Linked DNA regions of Alligator mississippiensis. Each later gene encodes a partner of the first gene's protein in a complex. Links are inferred from orthologs where the notes say so. Each region holds a gene or a part of one and is shown on either strand. Other genes may lie near its edges. The genes, in order: PAK4 and INKA1.

Region 1 (9,767 bases):
CCACACATGCGTGTATACACACAGGTGCACCTGCATGTGCTCCAGTACCTACACATGTGTGCATGCACACGCGCCCACACACATCAGCTCCCCTTGCAGACAGCTGCCCCCCACCCAGCAAACAACCGGACACTGCACTGGAAGCGCCGGGCAAGCTTCCCGGCGTCCCTGCAGGGCCTCGGCTCTGGGTCTCAGCACCCTCGGGGCCCCGCCTGCCCTCTCCCTGCTGGGCACCGCAGCCACTCCACGCCCAGGCGGGGCTGGGGAGGAAGGAAGGTGAGGAGGAAGCTCAGCGGATGTTTATGGGCTTTCCTCCCACGGGGCCCGGCCGGCCGGCCCTTCCTCTCCTGAACCAGCCTTACTCAGGCTCCAGGACCCCGGGCGCTTCCAGGCTCAGGTGAGGCACAGGCAGGGCCCAGCAGGCATCGGGGCCAGCGGGGGCCAGCACAGACCTGGAGGCCTGTCCTCCTGGATGCACAGACCCAAGAACACCCCCCACACCCAGCTCTGGCCCTGCATCCGTGCTGGCGGGGAGGCACCAGGCAGTGCTCGTATGTGCCCCTGAAAGCTGCTTTCTGTCCTCTCCTGGGGGGGCAGGCAACTCCATCCAGCCAGGTCAAAGCCCACCCAGTGCAAGGGAAGGAGGGAGAGGGAGATCCTCCAGTCAGGGCTGCTGGTTCTCCAGGCAGGCATGAACCTGCGTGTTTCTCCGCGGGCAGGACAGGGTCCCCCCTAGACACCGCTCAAGACGTGGTCCTGGTAACCTGGCACAGATCCGAGAGAAGCTGATGGCTCAGAGCCTCCCACCACCCCAAGCATGAACCGTGGAGGCCGGGGTTTCTCCCCTCCCGGGTCCAAGGCATCCAGGCCACGGCTAAGAGAAAGTTTTGGCTCCGGAGATGAGAGGCACAGGTTTTCCTGGCTGCAGAGGCTTCTCTAGCTGAACAGCAGCTCGCAGGCTACAACCAGACCTAGATCATGGAGGTGGGGGAACGCAAGAGACATCTCCAGGCCTGGGCGGATCTAGGATTTTGGAAAGGTGGGTGCACCTGGCATGGGCACATCATCCTGTAAGGCTCAACCGCTATTTTTCTGCAGCTGAAGCAAAACCAGAAGCTTAATTAATAAGGAGCGAGGCTGACACTAGATGATCCCAGTTAAAAGCATAGCAAAGACCACCAGAGCTACGGCCCGCATGCTCGTTTGCTAGATGATCTATCAAGTTTTAAAACAAAAGAACCAGAACACGACGCGCCAGAAAAAGCCAAAAGCCGCTGCGTCACGAGCCCTGCGGCCGGGAACAGTTCATTGGACATCTCTTATTTGGCGCCACACACCAAAACCGTGATTTCTTGAGTGCCTCCAATACGCCCCTGCGACGGCGACGGCGCGAAGGGCTGGAGCTAGAGCTACAAATGGCCTGCAGGGCTGGGGAGAGGAGGAGAGAGGGTCGCAGGAAGGGCAGGCAAGCAGAGAAAAGGCGAGCTTGAAGAGTGGAACATCAAGACCATTAGGAAAGGAGAAAGGGCCGTTCACACCCATGGAGCGGAGAGATTAGCAGGAACCCAGATGATGATAATAAGCCGCAAAGTCAATTGACACCTTGGCTGCTGCTTGGATAGAAATGCCGCTGCCCCTGCCTGGTTTGTGTAAACAGGACTCGAAGTGGGGGGGTGACTGCCCCCCGCCCCCTCCCCAGGCACTTCCGGCAGTCTGCTGCTTTCCCCCCCTCCTGCTCACATGACATGACGGGGACAGATTCATTGTAAAGCCCCCGAAACCCAGGCAGCGAGGAGACAGTCCGGCTTGCGGGCGTTTTTGTGGTTCGGGAGAGAAGCAGCGGCCGGTGCCATCTGTGCCCCCTGCCTCTACCTCCCTGATGCCCTTGGCAAAGACGCCATGGCCCCAGGGCTAACCCCGCGGCCTGCCCGAGTGCAACGCGCCACCTGAGCAGGGGGGAAATGCTCTGCAGGGGCACCATGGAAGTGCCTGGATCCTGTCTGAGCCCTGACGGCGAGCTGTAGAGCAGGGGGAAATTCCAGCACACCCCAGAGGTCCCAACCTATTCGTCATCACCCGGGGCTGGCTCCCTGCAGGGCTGGGTGCCCAGAGCGGGGAGGGAGGCAGGGAGAAGTGTGGCCTTGGCGAGGGGAAGATCTGGGGGGCAGCGGCCGAGAGCCAGGAGGAACTTACATGCCCATTCGTCGTGGGACCTCATCGCGGCCCGTCTCGGGGCCCTCAGTACGCCCAGGCCCCTGGAGAACGAGTCCAGGCTCTGTCTCCTGGCTAATGGCTTCCCCAAACCAGCCGCACGGCTTTAGGCCCCCTCCTTCTGGGCCGGGCCGGCTGGGGGCTCGCCAGGATGACAGGCCCCGGGGCGGGGTGGGGCGCAGTGCCACCCACGCGGGTTCCTGGAGTCCTGGCCTCTGATTCACCCGTCCCCTCCCAGCGGGCACTGGGCTGCGCTGCCCTCCCGCCCGCGGCAGGAGGGAGCTGAGGCACCTCTGTCGGGGAGAGAGAAGTGCTCCAAAGGGGCTGGCCCCAAAACGCAGCCGGCTTTCGGTTGCCAAGGGCTCGCAGGCACGTTCCAAGGTCCTGGACTGGCTACTGCCCCAGGACAGCCTGGCCTGAATGAGAGGGAGAGGAGCATCTTCCCCCGTGCGCAGAGAAGGAAACTGAGGCACGGAGCTACAAAGTAATTGGCCGGGGCTGCAGGGGGGGGAGTGGCCCTGGCCATCCTGAGCCTAAAACCGAGGTCATGAACCCAGGTCGTGTCCCTTCTGCTTCCCCCAAGCCTAGAACCCAGCCTGCCTTGCTCTCATAGACATCTTTAACCCCAAATTGGCCTGCTCAGCCCAATCCTCAACCCTCCAGCTCCACCCACACACAGACCCCAGGCCTTCAGAACACACACCTGTGCACATACACACACAACACAGGCATCCAAGACACACGCGCAGAACGAACCCAGGCATCCAGGAAACACGTACAACCCAGATGTCTGGGACAGATAGGCACATGGACACGCACCCTCCCAGGTATTCAGGACACGGACACACACAACCCAAGTGTCCTGGATGGATACACACACACAACCCAGGCATCCAGGACACACACACACGACCTGGGAATCCAGGATGCACACACACACAGAACCCAGGCATTCGGAAAACACACACACACACACACACACACACACACAGAACCCAGGCATGCAGGAAATGTGCACACCCACCTCCAGGTGTCTGTGACACAGACACCCCCCCCCGGTGTCCAGGAAACACACACACAGAACCCAGGTGTCCGTGACGGATACACACACAAATACACGCACACAGAACCCAGGTGTCCGTGACACATCCCTCCCACCACCAAAGAGCTTCCCCGCTGTGTTCTGCCCAAGCCCCCCTGGCCGCGGCAGGAAGCCGGGAGCCAGGCTGCCCCGGGCCCGGCGGTGCTCCCTTGATCTCCTCGCCCCCTTGCATTATTTAGCCATGGAGGAACCGGGGAATAAACAGCGCAGCCCAGACTCCAAGACGCCGCCCCGGCCTCCGAAATCCAGGCAGGCTCCCAAGAATACGCGCCCAGGAGGCCACCGACCCCCTTGCACCCACCCCAAGAAGGTGGGACGTAAGGGAGCCCCCACCTCCCTAAACAGCCAGCCACGTCCCCCCACCCCGTGGAAGTGTCTTGTCTGGGGGAGGCATCTCTCTCCTGCCAACTGCCCCATGGGACCTTTGCCCTCCTCCTCCTGGGCCCTGGCGGGTGTTAGTACCAGGAGGAGCCAGCGCCCTACCCCGCGCCCATCTGGGTCCCCTGGTCCCAGTCTCTGCCCTCCGCATCCCCCAGGTCCCATGTCCACCCACATCCTGGCTGTTGACCCCCTCCCGGCACAAGGACCCCCCCACACACACACCCACTGAACCCCTGGGAAAGCCTCACGTGCAGCTGGGAGAAAGGCAAAATTAGGCGGAGAGAGGACCCGGTTCCCTGCAGGCTCCCCCTCCGTGCGGCAGGGCATGACAGCTGGGAACGTGCCCACCAACCATTTATACTGGGGTCTTCTAGGTGGCAGGGAGGGGCTCCCCCCCACAACCCACATCACCCGGAGGCCAGAAATACTCAGATACTGGGAAAAGGGGGGAGAGGGGGTAAGGAAGCTGGCTGGAGTGCTGCATAACCCACCAGGCACCCAAGGGTTAAAATCGGGAGTGGGGATGGGTGGGGGATTGGTGCCCGCAGCCAATGGGAGAGCAAGGTTTGAAAACAAAGCGGCCACTCAGGTGCTGGCCTTGGAGGGCGGGGCAAGGCAGAGCCCACCCCCAAAAACCCACCCCAGGCAGGTGCTGGGGGCAGCCCCCAGACCCACAGACCATGGGGCTGCCCGCCCGGCACGTCCAGAGCCCGGGCATTCGCAGCACACACGCCTCCTCCCTCGGCTGCAAAAACCCACCTCGCCGGTGGTAGGAAAGTCCTAAAATCCGCCCCGTTGGCAACCCTGGGCATCAGTGGGGTCATGTCGAGTCCAGCCCCGACGAAACCACCCCAGCTCCGGGTCTGTCCCACATTGCTCTGCGCCGGACTCTCTCCTCCCCCTCGATGCAGAGAAGGCGGCACAAAGAGGCATTTCCCAATGGAGCCCTAGTGTAGACACAACTCCGGCGCCAGTGTGGATGATCCCATGGCTGGGGGAGAGGCTGCCGGGTGCCCGGTTCAACCAGATGACCCGGGAGGGCCGTTTAAACCCTCTGCAGAGCTGAGAATTCGGGTTTCTCCCAGGACAAACTCTTTCCTTCCGGGATCCAGCGCATCCCAGTGTCCCGTTTTAAAGATGGGGAAGGAGCCGAGGAGAACAGAAGGCCCCGCAGCCTCCTGCTGCAGGACCTGCTGGGGGCAGGGAGCAGCCCTGGGCACTGGAGAAAGGCAAAGCAACCACCTCCGGGGGTCCAGGCTCAGACTCGCCGCTAGAGAGAGAAAGCCCCAGTACAGCGCCCCCGCAACCCGCCCGGCCCCAGCAGGTGCACAGCAGAGCCGGAGGCAGAGGAACAGACGACCAGGGAAGCTGTGGGGGTGATCTGATGTCCTCTGGGGATGTCCCAGGCTTCTGGGCTTTGCTGGGTGCCGCCCCCCCACCCCGCTTTCTGCTCCATGTGTTGGGGGGTGGGGTTGGGCTGTGCCAACCAACCCCGCAGGGGCCAGGCTGGAGGATCTAGCCCCTGCGCTCAGGCTCAGCCTGAGGCTTCACTGGGGCAGGGATTTCCCCCCTGGTCCGGACTGGGGGTGGGTTTGCCTTCCTCTGCAGCGGGGGCACGGCCTCGCCCTGGGGTTTCTGAAGCATCCATGACGCTCCTTTGCAGCAGCAGGACGTTGCTCCCGCAGCCCTGCTTTCCCTGCGGCAGATTTGGGGCGATGCCCGGGGCAGTGTCAGGGCCAACGGTCGTGCTGCTCAGAGTTTCGATGCTGGGTTTGTCTGGGCTGGTTTGGACGGGGCTGATCCTGCCTCAGGCCAGGGTTAGACTAGCCGTGACCTCTGGGGGTCCCTTCCAGCCCTGCTCCTCTCTGACTCTCTGCTTGGAACTGGAACGCAGCTAGATCAGGCCCCAAATCCTACCGCTTGTCAGAGCCAGTCCGCGCACCCCCCGCTGCCTTCGCTGGAGAAGGGAAACACCCTGGATTCAACCCAGTTAAGTCACAAACGTGCTTGGAGAGGCGTTGAGGGCAGCAGAAAACCAGAGCCGCCATCAGCACTGGAAGGTTTAAAGCCACGTGGCGCAGGCAGGATCTAGGCCCAGAGACCCCCCAATTCCCACTTCAGACACCCGTGGGGCCGGGGGATGAACGAATAGGGTGCTGGGGTCCAACCTCACTGTCCCTGCTGCAGCTTGAGGCCGTTGCTCCGAGTCCTGCCCACCTGTCCCTGCAGAGAAGGGTCTGTCTCCATCCTCTGCCGAGCGGCCTTCAAGGGGTCAAATCCCCGCTTCTCGGCCTTCTCTGCTCCATACCAAATCACCCCAGTTCTTTCTGCCGTGACAAGAGGGAGCAGGAGAGGTTCGACACAAGCCCCTGCAATGTGAGGTCTTCAAACCGCGGGCCAGCACTGTCCCCTTGGAGGTCACAGAGTCCGGCCTCCTGCTCCAGGCAGGATCAGCCCCGTCTAAACCCTCCCAGACACGGCCTGGTCTGACCCAGTCCTAACACAACCCCGCAGCCCGATCACACGTTACCCCAAGATAGCCCTGGATCTGCCCCGGGGGCTGGCAGGGTCCTGCTGCTCTGGTCTGCAGTCTTACACATCAGCTCCTACCAGGCAGCTCAGACTCCCCCTTTCCGAACGCTCCTGCCGCTGTCGGGTGCTTTCATTGCTCCCTGGAAGCCGGCCCAGAATCGCACGGGGAAGAGGGGACAGCCCAGGAAAAGTATTTGGCAACTGAAAGCCAAAACCACCCACACCCTTTTTTTTTTCCCCCCGCAGCTTTATTTGCAAAAGCCAATTCTCTCTTGCGGTGCTGAACAGCCTTTCGGGTGTCTTGCAGAGCAGACTGGGGAGGTGGAGGACAGAGAGAGCCGGCAAGTCTGCAGACTTGCTGGAAAAAAGGGGGATTTCTAGGAGCTGTCAGCCTTAGTAGATGGAGGCGTCCAGACACGGATCCTTTCCATCCTGTGTGATGTTGTGGTCGGGGAGTTTTCGCCACGGCCGTTCAGAGGCTGACGGGAAGGGAACTGGGGTGGGGGAGAGGTCTGATCCGCTGGGTCGCACGACAGCACGAGTACACGTGAGGATCAGCAATGCTTAGCTCCCATCTGATTATCCTCCTGCGGCCCCTGGTTCCTAGCCTCGCACCTGCCCTCCTCCTCCCGGCTTCCCATGCGATTATCTGCACCCCCACCGTGGAGGGGCTTGGCTCCCCCGTCGCGGCGGCGGCAGATGACAGCAGATGAACGGGGCACGTCTGGAGTGATCGCCCCTTGCTAGCATCTGCTGGCACTCACCCAGCACCCTTGGGAGGAAAAGGGGCAGGCCTGGGTTCAAGACCAATCATCGCTCTACGGGGAAGGGGCCACGTGAGGGAAGGGAAGGGAGGCCATCAAAGCCGCGGAGGCATTCAGAGAGAAATCAATCCTGGTGCTGTGAAGTAGCAAACAGTTCTCGGGGCAGGAAGAAGGGAGAGAGCCCGGAGAAACACCAAACACATCCTTAGCTCCAGCGGCTCAGCACGGGTTGATTCCCTCCCAGGGGGAAAGAAAGCACTGGAGCCCCCGGCAGGGATTGGGGCTGAGCGTGGATCTTAGTCTGTTTTTAATTCCTTTGGGGAAAAAAATAAAGAGACCGCCACTAAAACCCAGAGAACGCTGGGGCTGCGTGCGTCTCGGCTTGGGGCGGTTTTCAGAGAAACTGCAGAGAAGTGGGGGGGAAGGGAGCTCCAGAGGTCACAGCTAATCCGACCCCCGGCCTGAGGCAGGATCCACCCCGTCCAAACCAGCCCAGACAAACCCAGGGTCAAACCTCTGAGCAGCGCGACCGCCAGCCCTGACACCACACCGGGCACTGCACCCGAATCTGCCGCAGAGAAAGCAGGAGGGTGTGGGGGCAACATCCTGCTGCTGCCAAAGGCGCTCCAGAGACCCCAGGTAGAGGCCGTGCCCCTGCTACAGAGAACGGCAACCCCCCCAGTTGTGCCAGTCCAAGCAGGAGGGGAAATCCCTTCCTGCCCCCAGTGCAGCATCAGTCCGGCTCTGAGCAGAGGGGCAAGACCCTCCAGCCAGGACCCCGTGGGACCACTGGCCCATCCCCAGCCCAGCACCTCTGGGGGAGGCTTAAAACCCCCGATACATGAAGCAGAAGGAGGCAGGGGGGATGTGTGCATGGAGCTGGACATCCCCTGGGCACGGGGCAGACATGCCTGAAGCTAGATGTCCCCCCCACAGGGAGACCTAGGGAACCCCACTGACGTTTTGAAAAATCAAAGCCCGTCACATGAAACAGCTTCATCCCCAAATCCTCACCACAGCAACATCATCACCCTCACCTGCTCACGTCTGCATCGCCGACCATCCGAGCGCAATCCAGGAGGATTCCCGGCCCCGAGAAGGGCATGTGGGCCCTGAAGGTTCACCTAACACCTCCCACCCATACAGCAGGTGCAATAAAAAAGGTCCCGAGTAAACCTGGTCTTCCTCATATTCCCTCGACCATCAAGCTACCGCCAAGATAATCCCTCAGTCAACCCACCGCGCTCCTGCGCCTTCATCCAGGAGATAAACTTGGCTAATGAGATCAACCTGATCATAAGGTTTCATGGCAACCACTTTTAAAGAGCCCAGAACAGAGCCTGGTTTCGGGGCAGATTTCGCGGGGTCTAACGAACGTTACCCCTTCGTTTGAGTGCTGTCAGAGGCTCTGGCAACACGGACCAGTCTGAAGGGGGGGATGCAGGCAGGCCACTGCACCCCCTCTGCATCCATCCCTGGTCGTGTCACATGTGATGAAGCACCGCCTGCACCCCGCTTTTCAAAATCCTAGCTCTGAGCACGCCAGATCCTCAAGACAAAGTAACCCTAAAACAAGGGCAACAAAAATGATCAGGGCTATGGAGGTGGCTTCCCTATGAGGAGAGACTAACAAGGCCAGGCCGGGCCCGGTTACAAAAGGAGACGCTTCAATGGGGGGCATAATACGAGTTTACAAAGTACTAAGCAAGGAAGAGAAGCTCAGTGGGGATTTACTCTGGGCCATCTCTCGCCAGGCAAGAATGAAGGGTTACGGCATGAAAGGACCAGTTTAAAATGAACACCAGGATGGTCGTTTCCCCCCAGTGTGGGATGGAAGGGGGGAGCTCATGGCCACCAGATGTGGGGGAAGCGGAGTTTAGCCCAATTCAGAAGGGACTGGTCCAGGTCCTGGAAGAAAGGGGCACTGGGAGCTCTGGGGCACAGCCTCTGAATGAGAATGTCCTGGACCGTCGATGGCTGCAAGGAGGTGGGGGGCAACCCTGCTCAGACCCCCATACTCTGCCTTCCAGCTCCACGCTCTGCCGCCGCGTGACACAGGAGACAGGCAAGACAGACCTAGGGGCGGATCCAGTACAACAGATCTTAGGACAAATGTGCCGCAAAACCCAGGAGCTGAAGCAGGAGAAGGTGAAACTTTTTAAAGCCTTCCCCAGCTGGAAATCCTGAGCAGGCAGGTGCCTGGAAAGGCCTCTGCATTTCTGTGCCCAACAGCTACAGAACAGGTTTTTCCAGGCTCAACAGATCTGCCCTGATCTGGGCGGGCAGAGGGAAGACAATGCCCAGCTCCCCCCTCCGCCCAGAGGCTGGGTGCCAAGAACTCATGGGCTGGCAGGGGGAAAAGCAGGCCGCCATAACCCGTTGCTGGCTAATCTGATACCACTGCAGGGTAAGCACCAGGACAAGAGCAGCAGTGGAGAGCAGGCCCATTGGGAAGGCGGTTGCCTCTGCGGGTTTCTTAGCAAGGTTTTAGCATGTCGGGGAGCCATGGACAGCTGGCTGGATCGTGCTAAGGGCAAGCAAAAGGGCATGGAGCTGGCTGTCTGCATAAGAGGGATGCCGGCAGGAGTGAGATTCATCCTTAGCGGCGTCTGCTTTGGAGCCAGGACAAAACCCAAGCCCTGGGCACCCCCCACGCTACTTCCCAGAAAGCTGCTTCTCGCCTGACTCCCTTCCTCTAGCCCAGGGGTGGATGCAGAGGAGGTGCAGGGCCCTGTTTCGGATTGGATCGACCACACCAGTGGAGAATCGTCAAACAG
Region 2 (9,996 bases), on another chromosome or scaffold:
TCCTTACATAGACATGCTAGGTGGGGCAGAAAGAAAATGTACCACCCACCCCAAACTGCCCAGCAAGGTTCAGTACAACCTTGGCACTGCTTCTCACAAAGATAATTCTACTACTCACTGATGAAGTGAAAGGGGCTTTCCCATTGGGGTTCCCAAAGCCCATGGCCCATGTCATGCCCTTCATTTTCAGACAAGGGCTCAGCATAAGATGGATCCAGGGCTGAGGCTGACAAAGGTCATGGAGGGAGTCTGGCGGAGCTGGAGATTGAGTCCAGAAGCCCTGGCTTCCTGTTCATGCTCTCAGCACTAGACAATGTTCCCAGATACAGTTGGGGAGTAACCCCAGGAGGCCCAGTCTGCGACAACACATTTTGCATTTTGAGCTGTTCCAGCATAGGTTCTATCAAAAAATGGAACTCAAATCTTCCCTCACATTTCTCTATACCTTCTGAGCCCTCTCCTATACACATCTGTAATATGCTAAGTCCACACCAGCCCCAAATATTTGCAGATGTGATTTGAGAAGGTACTTCAGGAAGTGACTGGAGTAGGGATGTGACTTGATGTGAGGGGACCAGATGTCACAAGCCTCACCAAGAAAGGCTACACATAGCTTGCCACTCATTAAATAAGAATATGAAGCCTCAGTGTTTGGTCTTCCCAACACAGAACTCAGCCTGATGCCCACCCCAGCACCTTTGGATTGCAGCTCTTCCTCTGGGCTGTGGGGTGGGGCTATTCATGCTTTCATCCACCCCCACACACTTACAATACCTGCAAGCCATCATGCCCCACCCAGGCAGCTCTCCCAGGCACCTGGATTTATACTTCACAATCAGGTTTATTTCTGCTCAAGCACAAGCTGGTACTAGGGGGATCCAAAGTTGTTGGGACAGAAAGGCCTAATGCAGGGATCCACAAAGGATCCTTTTGTCTTTGCTGTGATAAGAAAAGCCCATGTTTACACCTGGGTGAGAAGTGCTTTTTGCATCCTGCAAAATGTTTATGAAAATGTTCACAGCCTGAGTCAGTTCAAAATTTTGAAATTTTAAAAACACTGTGGAGATAAAAATCCATACCACCATTTTGGTCCAGTTCAAAGAAACCACTTTGTGCTTGTTTCCCCATCAGCTGAAACCTAAACAGGGGCCAAACAGTCACAATTCCATGCCCCAACCCCCAAGCCTGCACTAAGAAGGTCAGACAGCTAGGAAACTCAGTAAGCCATGCCAATCCCAGGGGAACTATCCTCTACTCTGCTAGATGCTGCTGGCCTGATGCGAGTAGGATCTGCTCCCACTAGCACTGCACCCAGTACCCGTGTTGGTGTCACTGCAGAGGTGCACCTCCCCAGAGGCTTCTATCTCCATGAACCACCCTGAGCCACCAGTTGGGTGACATGACCCAGAAAACCCCAACAAAATTCCAAACTTTTGCTAGCTTCAGGAGACAAAAGCAAAAAATGAAGCATTCAGAGGAGCACAGTTTTGGATCCCAATCCCTCAGCCATTCCCTGAGCGTCCAACTTTGCCCCAAGATATCACCTCAGGCCCCAGCACTGCTCTTCTGGCTACAGTACCACCCAGCCCACCAAACACAACAGGAAGAGGCACAGCACAGCATATTGGGAGCAGAAGCTCAGGATTCAGAAAACTACAGGCCAGGGTAGGCCTGGGCCAGTGCCCTGTCTCCAGTAACACTGGAAGACTTGAGATGTAAACCAGAGGTAGCCAACCTATGGCACAGGTGGCACAATTGGCATGAGCAGCCTCTTTATATGGCATGAAGCAGACTGGGGATGGGACAAGCAACACAGTGGCAGACAGGACAGGAAGCAGAAAGCAGCTTGGTCAAGAAGTACAGGGCAGGGAGCAGAAAGCTGAGCAGTAGGCCAGGGAAGGGAAAGGGATGGACGTGGCACTTGGGGTGGGTGTGGGGCTCATTTGTGGCATGCCTGCCAAAAAGGTTGCCCCCCACTATTGTAAAACACTAGAATTGGAAACAACTGCCATGGGGATCAAAGATCAGAGCTTCTCAAATGTGGTAAGTTCCCCCAGGTGTCAGCTTGCAGGAGATCAGTGCTCCCCAATAACAACACTATTCTGAGACCCCAAAACCTGGTTTTGAAATGGTGAAGGGTCTGATCAAAAGCTCCTGGGGACATTTCTTATGTCTATAGCCTTAGCCAGGCAATTCCCAGAACTCAAGTGAGAGGAAATAGCAAGAGCAGACTCAGTGCAAGGTGACATTGGGCCCAAAAGATCTCATCCTCAGGAATCACTTTTTCCCAGTGCCCGCCTTGTCAAAATATAATGGTCTTGGGCATTAGGGTGTCAGAATTAACTAGTCCCATCTCTATGCTAACTGCCTTCCCGATTTCTGGTCTCACCCAACTCTGATATCACTAGCATCTTTGGCCTCACTGAGTCCCCAGGTCTGATGTCATTATGATGTCACTCAGCAACATTCTATTTCAAACCATCTTGAAATCCAGTGTAAAAATTCCTGCAAAGTACTTCTTTCTGAAGCATCAGGAAGGGAAGAGATGATCCATCACAGCCCACTGGTCTCCCCTGGACACTAACTACACAGAGCCACAGTGTGTGAAAGAGAATCATGCTGTCATGTGTTTGGATGTGTGTGGTGGGCACTCTGTATATGTACATGTATGTCTCTGTAGTGGGGGAGTCTGTGTATGTGTGTGCATGCGTGTGTGCATTTATGTGCATGCATGGTAGGGGTGTGCACATGCAAGTCAGGGACATGCTTGGTGAGGGAGGCTGTACTGAAGTTGCCTAGTGCATCACATGTGCCCCAAACCCAAGATTTTCTGAAGTAACCAGACTCTAGGACCCCTGAGACCCTTGTCTGAGAGTGGAGCCACAAAGGAGAAGAGGGGGCTTGACCTTACTGTCTTTTCCAGCCAGTCCCAGGGCCTGGCAGGACAAGCCCAGTGACTGCAGCCCCACAGGGTCAGCACTAAGAGACTAGGGCCAATGTCAGCCCCTTGCTCTGCTAAAGGCAAAGCTAGTCTGAGTGGTGAAGCCCCCTGGGACCGTGGGGCCCGAGCAGCAGCCTCGCACCCCCACCGACTGCTCTCAGCGTCACCCCATCCACCCACCACCCCAGGGAAGCGGGCAGGCAGGCACTGGCAGTCCTGCCACGAGGTGGCTCCTGCTACAGCCTCGACTTGCCAGCACCCCGGGAAAGCCGGCACTTGGCTCCGCCGCTCAGCTAGAGACAGCCCCGGGGCGAAGCGGCGCCCCCGAGCGGATGGGAAACGGTCCGTGCCAGCCTGCCCCCGTGCTCAGCCCAGCCCTGAGTGCCCGATGTCCTCAGCTCAGAGACCCCGTTCGCCCGCCCCGTCGCGAGCTGGAGCGGGGCTCGGCTCCACTTCCCTGCGCTCCCGCCCGGGTCCCGCCCGCAGCGACAAGGAGCCCGGCCTGAGCCCGCCCGGGAGCACCGCCGGCCGAGGCGAGGCGCGGGGCAGCCCCTGTCCCGCAGCGCAGCCCCGCCGGCCCCCGCGCCGCGAGCCCCGCACTCACCGCTTCGGAGCGGAGGTGGCCGGAGGAGACGTCCAGGCGGGCGCGGTGCATGGCAGGGCCGCCCCGCACGGAGGGTCCCGGACGGCCGCTTCGCTCCGTCAGCCCAGCCCAGCCCAGCCCGTGCCCGGGCGCGTCCCAGCGCACAGCCTGGCTCGGCCAAGGCCGCCCCCGCCCGGCGGCAGCCAATGGGCCCGGCGCTTCCCCGCCCCCCGCCCCCCGCCGGGCCCGGGCTGGCCAATGGGCGGGCGCTGGAAGGCGAGCTCCGCCCGGGGCGGGCAGGGCAGCGTGCCCGGCGGCCGCTGGCAGCGTGTCCCGGCCCAGGCGCGAGCAGCTGGCCCGGAGCAGGGCAGGGCAGGGCGGGCAGGTAGGAGCAGCCCGCAGCGGGCGGGCCCGGGGGGCTATGCCGCGGCTGCCGGACGCTGTATCACGCGTGCTGGTGGCGCGTTGCCGCTGCGCCCCGGAGACGGCCCTAGGGGCTGGGCCCCAGTGCGGGTCTGTTCTGTGAGGAGCATGGATGCTGTGCTGTGGCTGCACCCTGGGCCCTTCCCTGGAGCAGAGGGGCTGGGACAGATCCTGCTCCTCCTGCGAGACACGAGGGTGATCCTGCCCCAGTCTTCCTGCTCCAGTCCTTTGAAAAAACGTCCATGCATCTACTTTGGTAAGGGGTCCTCATTTCAACTGTGAGACCAAGGCACAGAAAGCACCCAGTGGAAGGTGGACTGTTTTTCGGGGATTTGAACAGGGTGGAACAAGAACGAGGTAGGCAGGTAACGGGAATAGGAGCTGACCCGATGTGTGGCACAGACAAGTGACAGAGGTAAGCTGCTGCCCTTCTAGTGTTCTTTCCCCCCAGGTCTGTACCTTGGCTCAGGTGCCTTGGAAAATATGTGGACCTCTGCTGTGACTGAGGAGAGCAGGAGGAGCACGACACAGGCCACGGAGCCAATGTGCATTGGAGGCTCCTTCTGTGCATTAACTGTGCAGTTTTTGGGGACTCCAAATCTCAGCACCCAGCTCCCCTACACTTGCTGGCACGAGCAGCCTGTCCACCGGGCCAGTGTTGTTTCCATAGACCAGGGCCAACTCAGGATGCTGAGGCCACATGTAGACCAGTGGACTCAACCCCTTGCTTTTGGCAGTGCATCCCAAGATGTACAAACAAGAATTGGCTATGACTGGTAGGTAAGAACAGTGGTATCAGAAAAGCCTTGTGCCAGAAAGGGACCTGTTGGCACAGCACTTGGTCAGAGGAAGGAGTGCTCTTAGGCTGACAAAGCATTGTCTCTATCACAGGTGCCTCTACCTTCCCAACGCTTGGGCAAGGAGCAGTGCCACAGGAGGAAGGCCATTCCCTGGGAACCAGAGGAACAGCCTTGACTCCCAGCCTGTAGCCTCCACCCCTTGCAATTGGCACCATGCCCTGACCCCCTCACTAAGGGCCTGTACAGTCCCAGCCAGGCCTGAGACAGCCCATTTCTATAGCAGGAAGCCAGGCTTTTCCTCACATGTCCAGGAGCAGCTGGGGCTGGCACTGGCAGGAGGGCAGTGCCTGGGAAGGGCATTGTGGGTATAGCTGCAGGGCAGCTGAGATGTTGTTAATCATTTTCAGCCCCAAATAAGTGGAACGAACACATGGTCATGCTCTCTGTGGGAGGAAGTGGGTCAGGAATCTGCCACCATGCATCTATATGTATGGCACAGATCAGCCTAAGCCTAGCGTACTTCCCTCAGCTTCAGGACAGCCCCCAGCCCTCCTTTTAGCCATTTCCCACTCCTGCCCTTGCTCACATGCACCCCACCATACTGGGATGGACCTTGGGCTCTTGTCCCAGCTGCTGGTACCCAGACTTTAGGCTTCCTTGTGCCAAGGCTCCTGGCAGTTTTGGGTGGTTCTGGACAGGCTACAGTGCATGCCCTTGGAGGACCCACTCTGTTAGAACTGCCTTGGTCAGGGCCATGGGACAAGCTGGGATCATGGTCTTTGACCTAGTACAGACACTAACTTTCTTACCCTCTGACAGTTGCAATAAACTTGGAGTATATAGACAAATAGGCTGGAAGGGACCTTCAGAGATCATCTAGTCCAGTGGTTCTCAAACTTTTTTTTTCACGGACCACTTGAAAATTGCTAAGTGTCTAGGCAGACCACTTAATAGACTTTTTTTTGTTCTACAAATCAAAGCACACAACTCATATTTTATATCAGTAGTCTTACCTTACAAGTACAGATATTCTCGATTGTTCCGCAGCCTTTCTGTGGACTACCTGAATGGAGCTCGTGGACCAGTGGTGGTCTGCAGACCACAGTTTGAGAACCTCTGATCTAGTCCAGCACCTATGACATGTTTCCAAGCTAGGGGAAACCAGTGCAATGACTGACATATAGGGCAATTGTAGGGGGGCTGGTCTGAGAGACAGGCAGCCTCCATGGCTACATATCTTGCTTCTGATCCACCCAGGCTCTGATCTTCCTCTGTCATCACATACCATATTTTCCAGAGCACCCATCCAGTCCCCACAATGGCATCTGCCAAGGGGACACTGCCTACCCTTGGAAAATGGTCAGAGTCCCCCCCCTCCCCGCTCCCTGATGATCCCTTTGTTTGTGAACCATCCCCAAGTGCAACCCTCTGACCCACCAGGGCCAAGAGCCAAGGCTAAACAGAGTGCTCTTTTCTGGCCATAGTATTTCAATCATTGGTGACGTGTAGGAGGTGCACGCGGGTGCATGTGTGCCCCCTGAGCGTAGTGGTGCGCCCCCTATGAAAAGGTACCCCTGACACTGTCGGTGGCGCCTGTGGGCGATTGCTACTCTCCACCCTCCCCCCCACCACTACCAACACTGCTGGAAGCATTTGCGGGCGGTCAGAGATTACCGCTGGCCACTGTCAACACTGCCAGAGGCATCTGTGGATGGTTGCCAACCCCTGGTTGGTGCTCGTCACCCCCCAGCTGCTGACAGTGCCAGTGGCATCTGCAGGAGCTTCCTGCTTACTGCATGCTCCTCCCCCAGCCGCCAAGGACACGTGTCATTCATGATTTCAATACTCAAGGCACTTGTGACGACTGACACCAAGATTCTCCAAGTCAGGAGTTCCAGCGCCCTTCACTCCCAACCTACAACCTGTGCTAGGCCAGCCCAGGGCTCCCTCAACACACAGCCCTGCTGTTACCCCTACCCATAGTCTCCTGCTAGCTGTGCCCTGGGTGCTCCCTCATCTCAGTTCTAGTGCTGTCCCTCATTCCCAACTCATAGCCTACCTCCTCTCCCAGCCCTGGCAGATGCACTGGTATAGCATGAGGTCTGTGCAGTTCTACAGGAACTACAGAGCCTGCCATAGGGCAGAGGACTGCTCTGCTTGGATCAGTGGGGAAACAGTAGTGCAAAGAGAAGCAAGGCTGCACAGGAGTTTGGGTTCCCCAGCTCTCCCTCCCTGGGTATCCCCTTCCTCAGAGGACCTGTGCCCCTGTGCTCTAGGGAAGGGTCCAATGGAAAAGAACAGGAATCGGCTCACCCAGACTGCTGGGTGCCCTCACTGTCCAGAGCATACTTCCCATGGGGGAGTGTCACAGAGACAAGCCAAGGAAAAGGCAGTCGGACATGAGCAAAGGCTAGCTTCGTTTTGAGCACTAGGGATCTGACTCAACTTCCCACCAGTCAGCGAAATGGGAGCACCCTCTGGTGGCCACACGGCCAGATGCTGTGCTGGCTCTAGGCTGGGATGTGTGGAGTTAGGGCTGTAAACTTGCTGCATCAGAGAGCAACAGGTCTGATTTTAACCCTGCTTATGTTATGCAAGTTCACCTATAGCTATGGTCTACACTCTACAATGGTAATGTTGTAGATTCATAGATTCATAGATGTTAGGGTCGGAAGGGACCTCAATACATCATCAAGTCCGACCCCCTGCATAAGCAGGAAAGAGTGCTGGGTCTAGATGACCCCAGCTAGATACTCATCCAACCTCCTCTTGAAAACCCCCAGGGTAGGGGAGAGCACCACCTCCCTTGGGAGCCCATTCCAGACCTTGACCACTCGAACTGTGAAGAAGTTCTTCCTAATGTCCAATCTAAATCTGCTCTCTGCTAGCTTGTGGCCATTGTTTCTTGTAACCCCCGGGGGCGCCTTGGTGAATAAATACTCACCAATTCCCTTCTGTGCCCCCGTGATGAACTTATAGGCAGCCGCAAGGTCACCTCTCAACCTTCTCTTGCGGAGGCTGAAAAGGTCCAGTTTCTCTAGTCTCTCCTCGTAGGGCTTGGTCTGAAGGCCCTTAACCATACGAGTGGCCCTTCTCTGGACCCTCTCCAGGTTATCCTCATCCTTCTTGAAGTGTGGTGCCCAGAATTGCACGCAGTACTCCAACTGCAGTCTGACCAGCGCCCGATAGAGGGGAAGTATCACCTCCTTGGACCTATTCGTCATGCATCTGCTGATGCACGATAAAGTGCCATTGGCTTTTTTGATGGCTTCGTCACACTGCTGACTCATGTTCATCTTGGAGTCCACTAGGACTCCAAGATCCCTTTCCACCTCTGTGCCACCCAGCAGGTCATTCCCTAGGCTGTAGGTGTGCTGGACATTTTTCCTCCCCAGGTGCAGCACCTTGCATTTCTCCTTGTTGAACTGCGTCCTGTTGTTTTCTGCCCACTTGTCCAACCTATCCAGGTCTGCCTGCAGCTGTTCCCTGCCCTCTGGCGTGTCCACATCTCCCCATAGCTTTGTGTCATCTGCAAACTTGGACAGAGTACATTTCACTCCCTCGTCCAAGTCACTGATGAAGACATTAAAGAGTATCGGTCCAAGGACCGAGCCCTGCGGGACCCCACTGCCCACACCCTTCCAGGTCGAGACCGACCCATCCACCACGACTCTCTGGGTGCGACCCTCAAGCCAATTCACCACCCACCGGACTGTGTAGTCATCCACATCACAGCCTCTTAACTTGTTCACCAGTATGGGGTGGGATACCGTATCGAAGGCCTTCCTGAAGTCTAAGTATACAACATCCACCCCTCCTCCTGTGTCCAGGCGTTTTGTAACCTGGTCATAGAAAGAGACTAGATTGGTCAGGCACAATCTGCCCACCACAAACCTGTGCTCCCACCACCCCACTGGGCACAGGCCCCAGGCTCCGTGCTCCTGCCAGTCCCAGCCCCATGGTCCGCGCTGCCACCCAGCTGCAGCTTCCCTACCTGCTGCCTGGAGCAAGCACTGCAGCTGGGGCATGATGAGGAGCCTCTGGAAGCCAGGAAAGCTGAGCAGGTTCCCTGGCAGCTGCAGCAGACAGGGCACCTGGAAGCTGTGCATGCTGGCTGGGGCTGGGGTCAGGGCCCTCCTGTGTAGGAGGGTGGGAGCAAAGTGCACCAGTGGGCTGGAGGTATAATTAATTGGTGGGTGCCCGCAGGACAGATGAAATTGCCTAGCAAGCCGGATCTGGCCCCTGGGCAGTATTTTGCCCACCACTGCCATAGATCCATCTTGCCCTGTATCCTGTGTCACATAGTGGCTGAGAGCAGATGCTTAAAGGAAGAGTGAATTGGATATGACCAGGGTTTTTTCCACTGTTCCTCTCCCACTTGTAGCCTTTAGCATTGAGGGTCTAGGAAGTTCTGATTCTAGGGCTGTACCCCTAATTCACATGCTCAATAGCCATTGAGGCACCTTTCCTCCAAGAATTTGTCCAATCCCTTTTTGAATCAGTTAAAGTGTCAGCTTCTACAGTGTCTGGTGGCAATGAGTTTAATTACACACTGTGTAAAAAAGAACTTCCTTTTGTTAATTTTAAACTTACTACCTACTAATTTCATTTTATGACCCTTAGGGAGCTGCACTGGAGTGGTGCTCAGTTTTAGCGTGGAAATGGTGTGTGTAAGAAGGAGAAATTTGGGACAGGTATTATTCAGCTTCTCAAAGGGAAAGCACCTACTTGCTATAGTAGGTTCAGATAGAGGCCTGATGCTCACTGTAACAGTAAGAGCTGAAATCCCTGGGAATGGTGTTGAGTAGGTCAGGGTCTAATAGAGCTGGGGTTGCCTATACAATCTTAGAGGACCAGTGGCAGAGAAGCAATGGTGAACCCTGGTAGCAGCAGCCAGAATAGTGATCCCCAGCAGGGGAATAGTGGCAAGTCAGGTGCAAACCTCCTTACCTGGCACTTGCTACTTTGGCTGGTGTAGGTGGTAGGGCAAGTAAAGCAGCAAGCCCTGGCAGGAGGATGAGTTGGGCTGTCCTACCCAGCACTTCCTACTTTGGCTTGTGTAGGCAGTAGGCAGTGGTGGGCAATTGCTTTGGCTAGATGGCCACATTAGGAATATGAGTGAGCTGTTGCAGGCTGGAGCAGGGCATGTGGGGTGGGGGGTGCTAACTTGGTCTGGCCTGGTGTGGTGGGGGGTGAGTAATTGATACTGTCTGACCCAGGCTGGTCCAGCCTGAACACAGATGGAGCAG

The links.
Region 2: the proteins of PAK4 (region 1) and INKA1 are in contact, whole or in part, in a crystal structure (PDB 4XBU), measured with the Homo sapiens proteins. The link is inferred for Alligator mississippiensis from reciprocal best matches to the Homo sapiens genes PAK4 and INKA1. Residues at the interface, in NP_001014831.1 of Homo sapiens: Ser331, Gln358, Arg359, Glu361, Leu362, Thr404, Asp440, Lys442, Ser443, Asp444, Phe461, Leu475, Val476, Gly477, Thr478, Pro479, Tyr480, Trp481, Met482, Arg489, Glu507, Glu512, Phe516, Asn517, Glu518, Pro519, Pro520, Met524; in NP_976248.2 of Homo sapiens: Gly178, Arg179, Ser180, Arg181, Gln182, Pro183, Leu184, Val185, Leu186, Gly187, Asp188, Asn189, Cys190.

Annotation. Positions count from the first base shown.
Region 1 is NC_081838.1:1,207,873-1,217,639, reverse strand, and holds the start of PAK4 (serine/threonine-protein kinase PAK 4), read right to left. Parts: upstream 4,183-9,767; 5' UTR 4,103-4,182; coding exon 3,943-4,102; intron 3,332-3,942; exon of another isoform or gene 2,219-3,331; coding exon of another isoform or gene 2,194-2,218; intron 1-2,193. UniProt on the Homo sapiens protein: Serine/threonine-protein kinase that plays a role in a variety of different signaling pathways including cytoskeleton regulation, cell adhesion turnover, cell migration, growth, proliferation or cell survival.
Region 2 is NC_081835.1:40,909,344-40,919,339, reverse strand, and holds the start of INKA1 (PAK4-inhibitor INKA1), read right to left. Parts: upstream 3,695-9,996; 5' UTR 3,597-3,694; coding exon 3,546-3,596; intron 1-3,545. Other genes in the region: CDHR4 (cadherin-related family member 4), read left to right, coding at 4,056-4,203. UniProt on the Homo sapiens protein: Inhibitor of the serine/threonine-protein kinase PAK4. Acts by binding PAK4 in a substrate-like manner, inhibiting the protein kinase activity.